2 linked regions of the Caenorhabditis elegans genome follow. The protein of the gene in region 1 interacts with the protein of each later gene in a pairwise test. Each region holds a gene or a part of one and is shown on either strand. Other genes may lie near its edges.

Region 1 (10,644 bases):
GGAAAGAAAAACATTTTTATCTTCTGCAGGCATTCGTCCTGGAAAAAGTCGTAAGAGGAAAACTTGTAAAGAAAAAGGAGGAACAATGGGTCCAAGAAAGACAAGATCTAATATTCTAGTGAGAGGCCAGAGGTGTCAATCTTTGGAATTGTTGATTTTCAATAATGTATTTTTCTGTAAGAAGAGAAAATGAAACTGCTTAATAATAATTAAACATAAATTGTGATGTCTGAGCATATCATATATTTAGTTAGTGTGAAAAGGTCAGTGCAGTTGTTTTGAAAACGTAAAAACTTTCACTTGAATTAAAAAATAATCAATCATTCGAAATTACTGCTCAAAAGAAATGGTTGAAGTTTTTACTTGCCATTTGAAGCGATTTTTTCGCACAACTTTTGTCTAATTTTGTAAATAGAATGAGCACAAAAATCATGAAAAATTGAAAAAAATGTTAGCACACCTAAACTTGTTGTACTTGTATTTTTGTCAGGAAAGGTTAGTCAGATGTGAAAAGTGAAATAAACACCATTCCCAACTTGAGATAATTGTGACTGTAACAAAAAATACGTGGTTCCGAGGCTGGAAATACCAAGCGAAAGCTGGTCTCATGGTTTTTATGGTTTTGAAAAATTCCAATTATTATATTTTCCTTTTACCATGTGGTCAGGTAATTTATTCTTTTAGAAATTCTTAACGTTTTCACAAGTTTACATCAAGCATCATGTCGATTGGAAAAAATGAACAATTGTTGTTCATATGCTTTTTCACAGTTGTTTAAAAGATTCAATAATGAGCTGATGCGAAAATATAATAAATTCGTAACATCAAACTTGATTTCAAGGTGTATATGTAAATATAAACTCAGAAAAGCAACAAATTCATATGTACATCGGATATGTTTGTGATAGAGGAGCTTGCTACACATCCGCTCGAAAACTTGGAATACCACGGTATGCAAAAACATTTCAACTGACATTTATTTTATGTTAAAATCTTTGGCCGATTAGAATCCAAAGAAGAAGCGAAAGGCTGTGTCGACACGAAAGGAAGCAACGGCGACAAAATATGTGGGGCGAAAAAAGGAAATGAAACAAATATGTGGTACAAAAAGTGATGTGAGCATGGAATGAGGACGCGTTTAACTTGTGCCCTTTCTTTCCAACATCTTCTTCCTCCCGACATACGATGAGCCATCGGGGAGGGCACATCGAAAAGTTCAGAATTGACAATGGGCAGTTAAAGTGTATAACGGCACAAGTTAATTGTATTACTTCTAGGTTGATCAAATTTAATTTGCATTGAAATTTTTTCAGACAACGGACTGCGTGGGTATTTCAAATTGAAAAACTGCTCGGTTTTGGAGAATGAAGATCAGATCTAGCAAGAGAAGAAAAATTCATTATTCGAATGTAATCCAAAAACCAAAAAACCATAAATATAATTTTCAACTTAAAAACTTCAAAACAACCAGTGTTTTTTCCGATTTTCAAAATAAAAAGTCTTCGGATTATAGCGTGACTCAAGCTTTTCTAGTGTGTCAAAAACTGAATAATATAGGTGTTGTCTTAATATGTAAAACCATATTGTCTGAGTTTCTAAGTTTAAAGGTGAACAAGTATTAGATTGATATTCTTGTGAACCAATACAAAGATATCTCCATTTAAACTTTTTTTTTGAGTACCAAGATATGCAAACTAAGTTTCTTTTAAAAAATTATTATAATTTTCACACAAATTATGTTTGTAGAAATTTAAAAAAAGCGCACTAATCACAAAGAAACAAAAACAACGTGTTGTTTTTTACTTGCAAAAAGCCTATGATTGAACACTATGTCAGAATATTGAAAGAGAAGAATTTGCTATCAGTTTTTACCTAGATACTACAACTTTTCAGAAAAATACTTCGAATTTTTCAATATTAATAAAAATGGGAACAAGCCGTCACTTCAACGCAACAAACACTTCTTCATATGAACTATGAAGATGGGAAAAACAAAAAACAAAACGAATAGCCTTTTTATATTGTATTTCTTTGTCTGGTTCAACATAAATAATATTTGTTATGAAATGTGGTTGTAAATGTGACAGTATTTGAATTACAACTAATATTAAGCGCAGTTTAAATATTATTCAATAATTAGATGAATCCCACCTGTTCACAATTACGTTTATCTCGGCTCGTAATGTACATTTACTGGAAAAATAGTTTTTCCTGTAATTCTTTAAAAAAAAACAAATTCCCTCTTTTCCAAATACCTTATTCATTTTAGTTTACTTGGTTGGAACGCATTACCAGTAAAAGCATAGCGTGTGAAAGGGTCATATAAATTTTTAGTTTCGAGGAATCACTTGCTAGAAAAACGATCTACACTCAGAAATCTCGACTATTGCGATTTTAAAAATATTGTGAGGGGTTTCAACCAAAATTGGTGTGGTGTGATGTTTCTTTGGATTAGTTTTGTTTTAATTTTGCACCCAAGAAATCAACATTTATTTTACTGTTTCCTCAAAACACCTTCTTCTAGTTTTTTGACCTCTTGATAATTTCACTTTGTAGTATTTACCTATTTACAAAGCAGTTATCACCTCAAGCCGAAGATATCGCAACCAGTTATACTATCTAGTTTTTCAAACATTTATCTCTTCACTCATCTACACTCCTATCTCCCCTCCCTGTGATCATCAAATTGGAGAAGTGGAATCCACTTGAAATGAGTTCAACAAGAGTTTTTTGTTAGTGCGTGGCGGCTCGCCAGAGCATTGAGCTCTTGCGGCTGCGGCATGATGCGAGAGAAAAAGAGCACGACTGTATTTCAGTTTTCGATGTTTGCACATTGTGCGACACCCCTTCCCTGTGAAAGTAGAGCAAAGAGTTTGGAAAGAGTTTGTGGAATCTGGAGGCATTGGGACTGTTAGAGTAGTCAAAAAGGGGAGGGAAAACAGTTGAGGACTTTTGGTTGGAAAGCAGAAACTGAATCATCAGTAGTTTGCACATTCTTTTCACCGAACTTTCAACTTTTTCACATTTTTCTTTTCGTCAATTTCGAAAACCTAAAACACAGTTTCTATCACCATGGATGTGAGACCATATGAAGGAGGACGTTTTGAGGTAACGACAAAAACCAAAAAAAAGTTTGAAAGCATGTATTTTGAATCCAGAATTAAAAATTTAAAAAATCAACACAACATGCTGAAATATTTATTTTCTTAAAAACAATGTTAAGTATAAACGGTACTTGTGTATTATGCCCCCGCCACTTTAGAAATTAATTTTTTTTTAACTTTTAAAATAAAAACGTGTGGAATTCTTTTGTATTTTTAGGCCTAGGAAAACACCATTTTAAGCCTAACGAAGAAAAAGGTATCACATTTAATTTGAACGGATAAATCAATGGAAAATTAATTAATTTCTAAAACGGCGGAGGTATTATACACAAGTAGCGTATAAACATTTTATATTTTTGCCATTCGCTTCAACTAGAATCCAGTGTAATCTTAGTATTGCGAATGGTCAAGCAAAGCAACAACTTCCAAGACTCATGATGGTGAATTTCTCCATAAATTCAACCACTTTGGGTAGATCGAAAAAGCATCAAGAGAGGAAAGTTCTATTTGAGACATACATATGGGCCTTGAAAAAGCTTTGAGTGAAATTTTTAAGCAACACTTTCGACTCCATCAGAATTTTATAAAATTATACACTTTGCAACGATAGTAAAAAATCTAACTTTTAGAAAATTGGAAGTGAAGAAGCTCATACGATTGAAACTTTCGAAAGACGTATTCATGGAACTCCACACAGTGAGGTTAGTGTTTTGTATTTTGTGTTCAAAAACATGAATCAAGGGATTAATTGCATTTGTGCACCAAAATACTCAATTCATTCTTTTTCATAATCGACTCCCAGACAGAAATCTGCTTTGTGATCTCATTATGACGAATCAGACTGAAAAAAACAATTTATCAGCAATTGGAAGTGGATTTTGCCGGAGAAAAATTATTATTTTTCCAAAAATTTTAACATTTTCCAGCCACAACGACAAGTCTCGTCGAAACAGTACACCGAACGAAGAACCTACGGTCGAGATGAAAACGGTGAAATTGTCGTGAAAATCGAGAAAAATGTAAGTAGGGTTTTAGACGGAACATGTGAAATAAAAACAAGAAAAGGAGGGAAGAAGAGTAGCATTGTGGCAAAAACTAGCGTTATTCAGCAGGTGAACGTTTATTTCTTGGTCTTGTTTTCATAATTGTGTTGAATGGCATGTTAGTTGGGACGTTTTGTCAAACTTGATTTAATTTGCATTTAAATTTTAGTTGTGAATTTTATAGCTACTTTGTTCTAAGGATATTTTTAAATGTGAAAGCCCAAATTATTAACAGAATATTTTACCGATGTAGTTGTCTTCTCAATATAGATCTGTTATCAGTTTACCACTTTTTCTCATTTATTTGCATTAACTATTATCGTACTTTTCAAGCTAGTTGAAACTAGTTCTACTTTTAAAAATAGAGCTGCAGAACCAATTTACATTCCTTTCAATGTTTGTATAAGCAAAGACAAAAAGACAAGAAAATGAAAACGAAAAAAAAACGTGTTGGTTTTGTTTACAATGGGATTATGAAAATGAAATAAGCAAATGGTGTCCCATTTTTGGGTATAATCTCAAATTTGAATAATAAACGAATATAAAAAATGAGCAATTGAAGCCGGTTATTTATTTTGAAAAATTGGAGGAACATAGATGAAGAGTCAAAATGCGTAATTTGAAAATAACGATGCCTCATTTTTAAATTATCTATTTTGCAGTCACCACAATCTCACTAATCAGTCTTGAACACCGTATTGCTCTTATTTTCCAAAAATTTTGTGTGCATAGAAAATTTTGAAAAAAATCTTAATTTAATCTTGTACATAATTACTAACTTTTGTTTTAAAAACTAATCGAGAGAGGAATCACCAAAATGGGGGAATATGGTACTTTACTTCGCTTAAATATTGGATTGTATTTTCTTCAAACTGAGAAGTAACATTTTTGAGCCATACTTTTGATTGTCAGTGACATCACAAGTGTTTCAAATTCAGACCCGACTAGTTATAGGTATAGAAATGAACACAACTTGAACTTCACTAGAATTAATTTTATAATAGAAGTGATATAGAAGGCACGTGGTTTTCTTTAGCAGAATGGGATGTGCGTAATTAACGCATCCAGTTTTTATAATTTCAGTTTCACACAAAAAGCCCACAACAAATGTGCAAACGGTGTGAGCTTAACGTAAACAACGTTCTCATATTTTTTTTTTCTTTCTAATCCGGAAGTCGTAAATGAAACGATTAAAAAAATGTATTCAACTTTGTACAAGAACATGTAATAATATTAAACAAAACTATTTTCAGAAGTCTGTTGTTTAAAAACGTCACAAATTAGATAGTTCACCTAACAATAAGCGAAACTCATATAAATAAAAAGTCTCTAGGATTATAAAAAATACGTTGGTCATCCATGTTCTTATTTTATAATTGACAATTTATTTTTAAAAATGCACTTTGTTTAAAAAAAGAGTTATTTTTAAGCAAATGACGCCGAAGTATAAGTTCGACAAAAAACAAAACAACCTTCTGAACATGATAACATTCAGCTGAAATAACGCATTATTTGACAAGTATGTGTGCTTGACATATCCACATTGTGGAAAAAATAACAAAAATCGTTGAAATCGAAATGGGGCAAAATCTTGTATTACGATTTGATAATCGTTAACAGACGTTTTTGAACAAAAACTAAAATTGTAAATGACTCAGACTTTTTTCAGCCGTCTGAGCCAGTCCGTCCAGCATCACCAGTCCGACCTGTCACTCCAGTTGGTGGAGAAAATGAGTTGAGCCGGCACTTGCTCCAAGTAAGCTTCCTATATTAGTATACTACTTTAATTAGAAGGCGATTCAGTAGTTATAAGCGCGTGTGTAAACAATAAAAAGAATTTCTGTGACACAGCAATACACAAGCGTAGTTGCAAAATTTTTGAAAATCTGATATTAATTACAACGATGTTTGAAGCCTATCCAACCTCTCCATATCCCACGCATCGACATTCAGCCTGCCAATTCTTCACGACACGCATCGCCAAGACATAAATTGCAGTATGGTAAGAAAATTTAAACGTGCTTCACAAAACGGAACAGGAATGGGCAAAAATATATAAATTGATGCTGAAAGGGCAGTGAGACAAGGGCAGGGAAGACTGCATGACTGATGGAAATTGAAAATAGAATGAAATTGGGTTAGCTATCTAAAACATTTAATAAGTGACATGGTGTCATGTAATTGTTAGAGCATTAAAAAGAGAATTGAACGCGTGAATCGTTTTAGTTCCAGTCGACTGAATGCCAAACAGCTGAAGGTTACTTTTCTCGCTAGATCTTTTTCATTTTCAGAAAAGCGTGTTCACTGAACTGTTAGAGAACTAAGTCACTGAATTGGTGTCGAGAATGACAATAAATGAGTGTTTCTTAGAATTCACAACTTGCAGTAAAATTGCATTTTTTTGAACACACTCTTAATAATGACAAAGTAACATCTCGAGAGGTTTAAAAGACATCTAAAAAAGGACTGAATTGATTTGTGGCTTAAAAAACTGATAATGGTACGGAATGAATGAGTACATAGAATGATTTATTTTAAATCTATGGTTTAAATTAATTCTAGCAAAAAAGAAACTTTTTTACCAAAAATTGTTTAAAGCATTCCTAAGGTGAGAACTCAAAGTACACATCTAAATTCACAAAAACATTAAGTTTTTTGTTCCACACTTTCGTAAAGTTAACACTAAGAGAAAAGTATGAATTTTCTCTGTTAGGTGTATGGTAAGATTTAAATTAAAAAGTATCATTCCAAAATTTTGGTACAAGTGTCACAAAAAATATTAATTTTCAGATGAGGTTTCACCAAGATCAGGTTCTATCAACATGCTATCGCCAAGATCTGGACACTCGGCATCTTCAAGATCTGGAGCTGGATCTAGACAGAGTAATGTGTCCGTAAATTCGGCAAATGTGCCATTGAAAAAGGTTTGTTATGAGAAATATAACTTAATAAACAAAGGAAATTTATACGACAAAGATAATTGAAATAGAAGTTAAATCAAATCTTTGATTGAATTTGGTAACAAGGTTTCTAAAATAAGTGAAAATGAATTTAAAAGTACCGTTGGGGGTTGGTAGTTATAGTTAATCTTCGGCAAACGGTTTGAAATTGATTTTGCCGACTGGTTAATATGGAAGATGCTTACAGTGTTATTGAAGTTACCGTATTTGTGAATTGCATGTGTGGTTGAAAAAGTAATAATGACAGTACAACAATTTTAGAATGCATAAATAATTTTCGAGTGTCCTATAGCTTGATCGCAATAATCGATATTGAACGAAAATTTGACTAATGCCGTCTCAAGCCATTTTTATCCTTAGCAAAAATTAAGTGCAATACTCTTACCCGAATTACCGTATACGTGTTTCTCAAGCTATCAACATTTATTTTTCGTTGCAAATATTTATACGAAACAACATAAATTTGAATTCAAATAAAATGTAGAAGAAAAATAAATTTTGCTACAAAAGATCAACCCTATTTGATCATGCACCAACTGAATCAAAATACCATTAAACCAAATGAACTCGTGACTATTGCAATGACAAAATGCTCCAAACTAATTTCAATTTCATATTATCCACGTACTTCCGTTTCAACAAACCGCTTTATTGTGTCATCCTGCAAATGGTGACAACAAATTGCGAGCAATCTACGCACATGTGTTATAGGGAAAGTGTAAAACATGAAGCGTAGAGAAGACATTTATCTGATTTTGGTATGACAAAAAAATAATAATATCATTTCAAATTTACAATTAAGTTGCTTCAGAGTTTGTTTTTTAAAAGGTCAACTATTTTGAAGTTCTATGTTTCAGGTCACCAAGAAGTCCCGATTTGTTTCCATTCACGATGGTCGTCCCGTATCCCCATACACAGAAACAGTGTCTTTTGAAGTTGCCATTCCATTTCAACCAGATAGATATTCCAGGTGAACTATGAACAATTATATTTGAAACAAAAAACAAAAAATTGTATGTTTTCAGCGCTTCGGCCCGTTCATTCTCCAGCTCACCACACGTTTCCCGCAGGCCAAGCGAATGCGCATACTTGATGGAAAACCCGCTCTACCAAGATTGAATTTAATTAAATGTGAATTGATCACGCGTCATCATCCATTATCATTCTTTTTCTCCTTTTCCCCAATATCATTATTCCCGCTGTCTATCAATATCTGTCAATATCTACTGCCAAAAGATGCCCTTAACAATAACAACCAAACATTCAATAATCTGTTGCTTTTTTTCTGTATAGTAAATCTTGTCTTTGAAATTTTGTGAAGATACAAAATTTGTGAAAATAAAGATAATACAATTTTGAATGTTTTTTGTTGCATTGTAAGAACATTATCTTTAATAAAGCCTTCAATGTTTCTTTTAGTTTGAAATATCTACCGGATTAGCGCCGAAATGCGAAGATATCTTTTGGAGTTTTTGTTTTTCAAAGTTTTTGGTTAAACTTAAACTTTTTCATTACTTAAAAAATGTCAAAAAAGAATATTTCAGGTAAATCCGGGTAGCAAAAATTGCATTTCTGATTAAAAAAACGTCATAAAAATATTTACTTCAATATTTGAACAGGTGAAATTTTCACTTTCTTATTTTCCCTTCAACTTCTTTCATTATTCAGTATTTTTGATGACTGATACTTTTCCTTACGCAAAAAACAGAAGTATATACCAAAAAATTTCTGAGCTCGCCTAAAAGTTTGAAAATAAATGTAAGTCAGAATGTGAGTTCTTACCTTTCTTGTGCTCTGTGTTTTTTTTTTTTCATTTAAAAACAATCTTCAATTTTCCTAGTTTTCCCTCAATATTTTCGCGTGCGTATTGTTCCACTGTGTTATACTCGTATTACTAATTTTTACGTTTTCAAGTTCTGAGGTCAGTTTAATCATTATATCCCAATATGTAACGAAATATTTGGTGATATGAATAATGGGCTATCACATGATAGGGAGCATTTATGAGTCCCTAAACCATATAATTACAAGACTTTCGCCAGCTCTCTCCTTTGTCAAATATTGAGTAAAACCTTGAAGCAGCTTTTATTCCTAATACTGAGATTTATTGATTCTGTAATTTTTTGTTTAAAATGAATACTATTCGAGGAGAAGTCGACAAAAGAATAATGGTAATCAAAACAGTTACTTTTTTGATGGTTTCGAACTTTAGTTCCACAAAATATTGTAGTTTAAAATAAATTCCACGAATATGTCTGGTCTGAAAACAGGAATCATATTTATATTCAATCAATCACTTTTTTCTGAATTTTAAAAATAAACGATTTTATTGACAGAGTGTTTTATATTCATGACTTTCAAACTTTTACAAATATAATCATCGATTTCCTTCTCGAAAATGCAATTTTTCCAAAAATACTATTTCGAAAAACTCTGAACCCAATTATAAGATATGTGATGAATAATTCCCCAAAGTGTTGTGCGCAAAAAGAAAAGAAAAGGATTGATTTCACAGCAACTCTTCTCCTCTCTTCTACTTCCCCCATTTTGCCTATGCTGTTTCTTTAATCGCACCCCACCAAGCCAGCGGAGCAAACACGAGATGGACCCGGTTTTCGCGGAGTAGTACATCGAGAAAGAAGAATAAGGGACCCCTTTTGCGTCGCGACTAACTGCGCGCAAAACGTCTTCCCCTGCTGCGAATCAATGCGCGTAAGGACGACAAGGGTCCGCAATGTGTCGTCGCGGTGTACGCACACATTCCGCTCGCTCTCTTTCTTTTGTGGTGTCCTCTGAGAGAGGGCCGACGGCGTATCGGATTTTGGTTAGCGTGCCCTTGCCCGAAAAAGAATGCGTCTTTCTTTTCGCCTCTTACTTTTTCCCCAATAATCGCTTCCTTTCCTCTGACTTTTTTTTGTTTTCCAATTTTTGTAATAGCATACTGACCTATATGTTCTGGTAATAGTTGTTTAATGTGAAAAGTTGTTTTGCACAACATTATAATTTGGAATATTATTTCTCTCAAAAAACACTTTATTAATAGTCACAAAGTATTTGTCGGTCGGTACTTGCACTCAAAACAATCCGTGATTTGCATTTTATTTCACTGTTGTCAGTACATTGTCACTCACATAAATGTTGTTAAATTTTTCTCTCTGAAACATATTATTTCGAAAATGCAAGGCTATACTATATTTGAAATTCAGCGAAACTTTGGAAGCATTGGATCATCTTCAGTATGTAATTTTTGCAATAATATAAAAAATCAATAATTTGACAAGTCCTTCATCTTCTGCGCCTCTCATCTCTCGATTATCTGTCGTAATTGTCACGGTTCTGCATGCAGTTGTCTGAACAAACCACCTCATTTTTTCAGAGAGGGTATTGAATGTTGTTACAGAAGATGCCGGCTGTCAAAGGTGATGGCATGCGTGGACTCGCCGTCTTCATCAGCGACATCCGAAACTGCAAGAGTAAGGAGGCCGAGCTGAAACGGATCAACAAAGAATTGGCCAATATTCGATCCAAGTTTAAAGG
Region 2 (4,227 bases), on another chromosome or scaffold:
ATTCATTCAAAAAAAAAAGTGTGCTCACTTGTTAATCAACTGATAGTATCAAATCACAATTGACAAAAAACTCGAATTTCAATATAGATAACCAGTTTGGGTCGTAAACAAAAAAGTGATCAATTGCCCCATACTGGGTCCATAATCACATTAGTACTCACTTGACCGGATGTCTCCATTTAAGGAACGCGTATATCACTGGATACAATACAAACTTGCATAGTGGAGCTGAAAGAAACAGCAAAAACAGGAATATCAACATTTGTTCTGTAAATACGTAGAATTTTATGTCAATAGCAATACATGTAAGAACATCAATAACTGAAGAGATAGATCTTGATAGTATTTTAGTAATCAGAGATAGCTTCAAGTGTACTTGTCTTGAAACGGTTTATAAAATAGTTTTAAAATGTATATATTTGCCAACTGATTTTCATGTGACACTTAGAATATCTATGTAGTTTGATAAAAGACTCTTGATTAAATCATTAAATAAATACAAAAGTACGTGCAGATTTGATAGTGATTGTGCTAATAAATTAGTGTTGTTGTATTGAAGGTCAAATATTTGTTGTTGGAAAATGGAAAAGATCAATAGCTTCTAGCAACTTATATGTCAAACTCGGCAAACAAAGATTAATTGAGAAATTTTAGTGAATTTTTAAGGCTCAATAATCGGGCATATTGTTTCTATAAAAAATCATCGCTAGACATTCATCTATATCACATCATAGATGAGTATATCATAGCAGAGCTGTCGGTTTTTTGCTTTTTTGGTTTTTTCGTAAAAATGGATTTTTGATTTTTTTTTCAGACCAAATTAACAGAAAAATTGTTTTTCAAAGATGTTATGTTTTAGTTGGATTGATGAAAAATCGAAAAAAATAGAGTGTTTTTTTTTTGGTTTTCTGGAGAAATTCGATTTTTTGTTGTTTTTCACAGCCCTCACAAGGTATATCATCACAAGCCTATCATCACGGCCATATACTCTAATAGTATGACATGCAAGTCGAATTCCAGAGAAGTTAGTACTAAATAATAGAGAATACAATAGAGATGTCACACAATGAATAATCTATGGCAAGGGCTCGAAGAAGAATTCGGCAAAAAAATTGAATAGTTTGAGTACAAACCATGTTTTCCAAAAACGACCAGTCATTGCAGAGAAGTTAACTAGAAAGAATGTGAATTTCTATGTTTATACTTCTAGCATTGGTAAGTTCAAAAAATAAGAAACTGGAAAAGTTGAGTGCTGAAGAATCTTATGGCACATATAAACTGTGGCTGATAACGAAATGATTTGGTTGAACGTATAAGTAGTTATCAGGAAATAATCAATAACTAAGTTTATGACGATGATGATTTTTTCGATAACTGAATTGACGGCGCAAATAAAACCAGCCGACGTATTTAATTTCCATCTGGGTGGTCTTCTAATTCGAATATTGGATATGTTCTTTGCAATGTTGTGAATGTTTATGGGAAGACATTTTTTACAAGAAAAATCTTTTTGTGATAATGATAATGATTACAAATACACTAAAATGGGCTCTTTCTTCCTATGCAAAAAGAAGACGTTCGGACGGTGGTGAATCAGAAATTTAGTCATGGGCATCGTCGTGACCGTGATGTCCGTGATTACGGTACTTGTACTTGAGTCGCTGCTCTTCTGGAACGGCAAAATCGTAGACAACAGTTCCGGCTTTGATGATTCCGAAAAGAAGAGCCAATCGCCACACAATTTTCAAATATTGACCATATGGAGATTGACGGAAGAAGTCGGGGTCTTTGTTCTGAAATAAAACAATACAAATCGCATTGCGTTTTATTTTATGCTGTCACTTTTTAAAAATTGAACGTTTTCTTGTTTAAAATTTTTTTAATTACTTATGCATGAGAAAATTGATTTTTTTTGTAGTACTTATGCCATTTCATAACAAAATATATGATTTTGTGAAGAACTTTGAAATTTTTTTAAAAACATTATGGCGGCTTCAAAAGCCAAGTTTTTAGCCTCGCCGGACAGTCCCGACACTATAAATCTATAGCTGTGGAAGCTTTATGATCAAAAAATTAAAAATTCAGTAAACTAAGTACTAAGGTTATCTTATTTTGAAAGCATTGCAATTAATTCTCAAAACAAAAACATATTTTCGAACTATTTTCGAACCGACTGTACTTTCGGGAACATAATTAATTCTTTAAAAAACTCACAATTGCACGATAAGCAGCTGTCGTCTCCTGCTTGGCTTCACCAAACAAAAACATTTTTGGCATGTTGTTCACATTATCCCATTTTCCCTCACTTCCGAGTCTGTTGATTTCTTTCCAGACGGCGTGGGAGTCACTGCAATAATTTGAAAATTTATGATTCAAAAATTCACCAATTTAGGAAACTGTTTTGTATTCGAGGGATAGATATTACAAGCATTGAAAAATCAATTTTGTTCTTTAAGAGATCAACAATTTAATGCATTTTTTAATGCTTTTAAAGGGAGCAAACGCATATTTTTGGATAGATGATTAAATATTTAGTATTTCGGAACAGATTAAATAAGAAAGTGAGCATTTGTTATATTTGTTAAGAATAATCACTTAGTAAACTAATTGCATTACGAATACGAAAAAGCTATTGTTTAAAATAAAATTCCTGGTAAGAACACAGATATTTTCTGAAATATCGAAAATTCCATTGATATCGTTTTTTAACATGATTTCTTGACATCAGATTATTTAGCCTTTAACACTAAAAAAAACTTACTGAGAGTGAGACGATGCTTGTCGAACTGCAATACGTGCAACCTGGCGGCCGGCGTGAGATAAGCCTGACATGGCGAAATCACCTGAAAATAATTTTTAGAATTTGTGTTGAGAAAATGAAAATTTGATAGGAATTGTTCGATTTTCACAATTTATGCAAAAAACCTCAAACAGTATGGAAATTGTTAAATTATAGAAGAAAGAAAAAATAAAAATAAAAATTGCCCGAACACCAAAAGCGCGCCAGTGGACGTCGCTGACGCACTATTCGACGTACTGGCGCACTTCTTGCTAATATTTTTTTTGCGTTGACGTTGCAGATTTACTCCGTTTTTTCCCTTTCAAAAATATTCTCAATTTTTTGAAAATGAGTCACACAATTCTTCTGCTCCAACCGACAGACAACATCGAGTCACGTTCATGGTCGGATTATGAGAATACCACGGAATGTCTTGAAGGTGAGTAACAAAAACCAAATTACATTTTAAAATTAAAAGTTTATAATCAATTAAAAACTTTTAACTTATAGGAATCTGCAGAGTCTACGAAGAATATTTGAAAAAGAAGGTTCCGGCTCAAAACGAAATCACCTATGACATATCGCACCTTTTCGAGTTCATCGACGACCTCAAAGATCTTTCAATGCTGGTTCTCGACAATGTTGGTTTTTAAAACATATTTTAAATATCGGAAAAAAAATTGCAGACAACATACACATATGTCCCCCACAATAAGCAATATGTAAAGGAGAGCATCTACAAATTAATGAACAACAGGCTCAATAATCAGCACTGATTACCATCCATATGGGTTTCTCACTTCTATCTCTTTCCAACGTTCTCTTTTCTCACTTTTTACGGATTCAGTCCTAAGTTTTAAACTCTTTTCCAAAAAATGTGAAAACGAAATTTCATATCCAGTTATACAATTCATCCGCAACCACATGAATAAATATTTTTAAATGGTGTTATTTCTCTACGTTTATAATTACAGCAGTTGTTTTCTGTGTATTATTTATTTCATTTGGAATTAGTGATTTTCGAAATTTACAAAAATCTTCAAATTGTTCAGAATGATGGTGTCTCCTCCGCAAGAGGATACAGTGTTCAATACCGATTCAGATCCAGTTTATGAACGTAAGTATTAAACTATGGAAGGACTCGAGAGTTGGTAAGAATATTCAGATCATGCCGCTCTCGTTTCCTCCCCATTTCACGCTGATGAAGATCATACATTCGATATTTCATTTGCTGCAGAAGCAACGGACGACATGACATTCAATGATACGACTACAGATGGAAATGGACAAGAATCTGTTCCATTGGAGGCATTGACAGTAGTTGAAATAGAAAAAACATCTAAAGGTATAAATTGTATTTTTAAACGTCTATATAGTACTCATTTTACAGGTTTCGGATTCAATATAGTTGGTGGAACAGACAATCCTCACTTTGTTGGAGATATCGG

Evidence for each region. The genes of interacting proteins can lie anywhere in the genome.
Region 2: the proteins of T20B5.2 (region 1) and erh-1 interact in a two-hybrid assay, tested with the Caenorhabditis elegans proteins (one large-scale study listed by BioGRID).

What each region holds. Positions count from the first base shown.
Region 1 is NC_003284.9:9,328,168-9,338,811, forward strand, and holds T20B5.2 (uncharacterized protein), read left to right. Parts: upstream 1-2,965; 5' UTR 2,966-3,072; coding exon 3,073-3,108; intron 3,109-3,733; coding exon 3,734-3,805; intron 3,806-4,030; coding exon 4,031-4,123; intron 4,124-5,816; coding exon 5,817-5,903; intron 5,904-6,061; coding exon 6,062-6,149; intron 6,150-6,937; coding exon 6,938-7,071; intron 7,072-7,964; coding exon 7,965-8,077; intron 8,078-8,132; coding exon 8,133-8,226; 3' UTR 8,227-8,465; downstream 8,466-10,644. Other genes in the region: apa-2 (AP-2 complex subunit alpha), read left to right, coding at 10,511-10,643.
Region 2 is NC_003283.11:10,577,927-10,582,153, reverse strand, and holds erh-1 (Enhancer of rudimentary homolog), read left to right. Parts: upstream 1-3,012; 5' UTR 3,013-3,127; coding exon 3,128-3,218; intron 3,219-3,289; coding exon 3,290-3,420; intron 3,421-3,465; coding exon 3,466-3,555; 3' UTR 3,556-3,727; downstream 3,728-4,227. Other genes in the region: T21C9.6 (Phosphoenolpyruvate synthase), read right to left, coding at 162-262; lpd-9 (LiPid Depleted), read right to left, coding at 1,602-1,793, 2,215-2,347, 2,762-2,832; mics-1 (PDZ domain-containing protein), read left to right, coding at 3,833-3,896, 3,945-4,124, 4,170-4,227. UniProt on the Caenorhabditis elegans protein: May have a role in the cell cycle.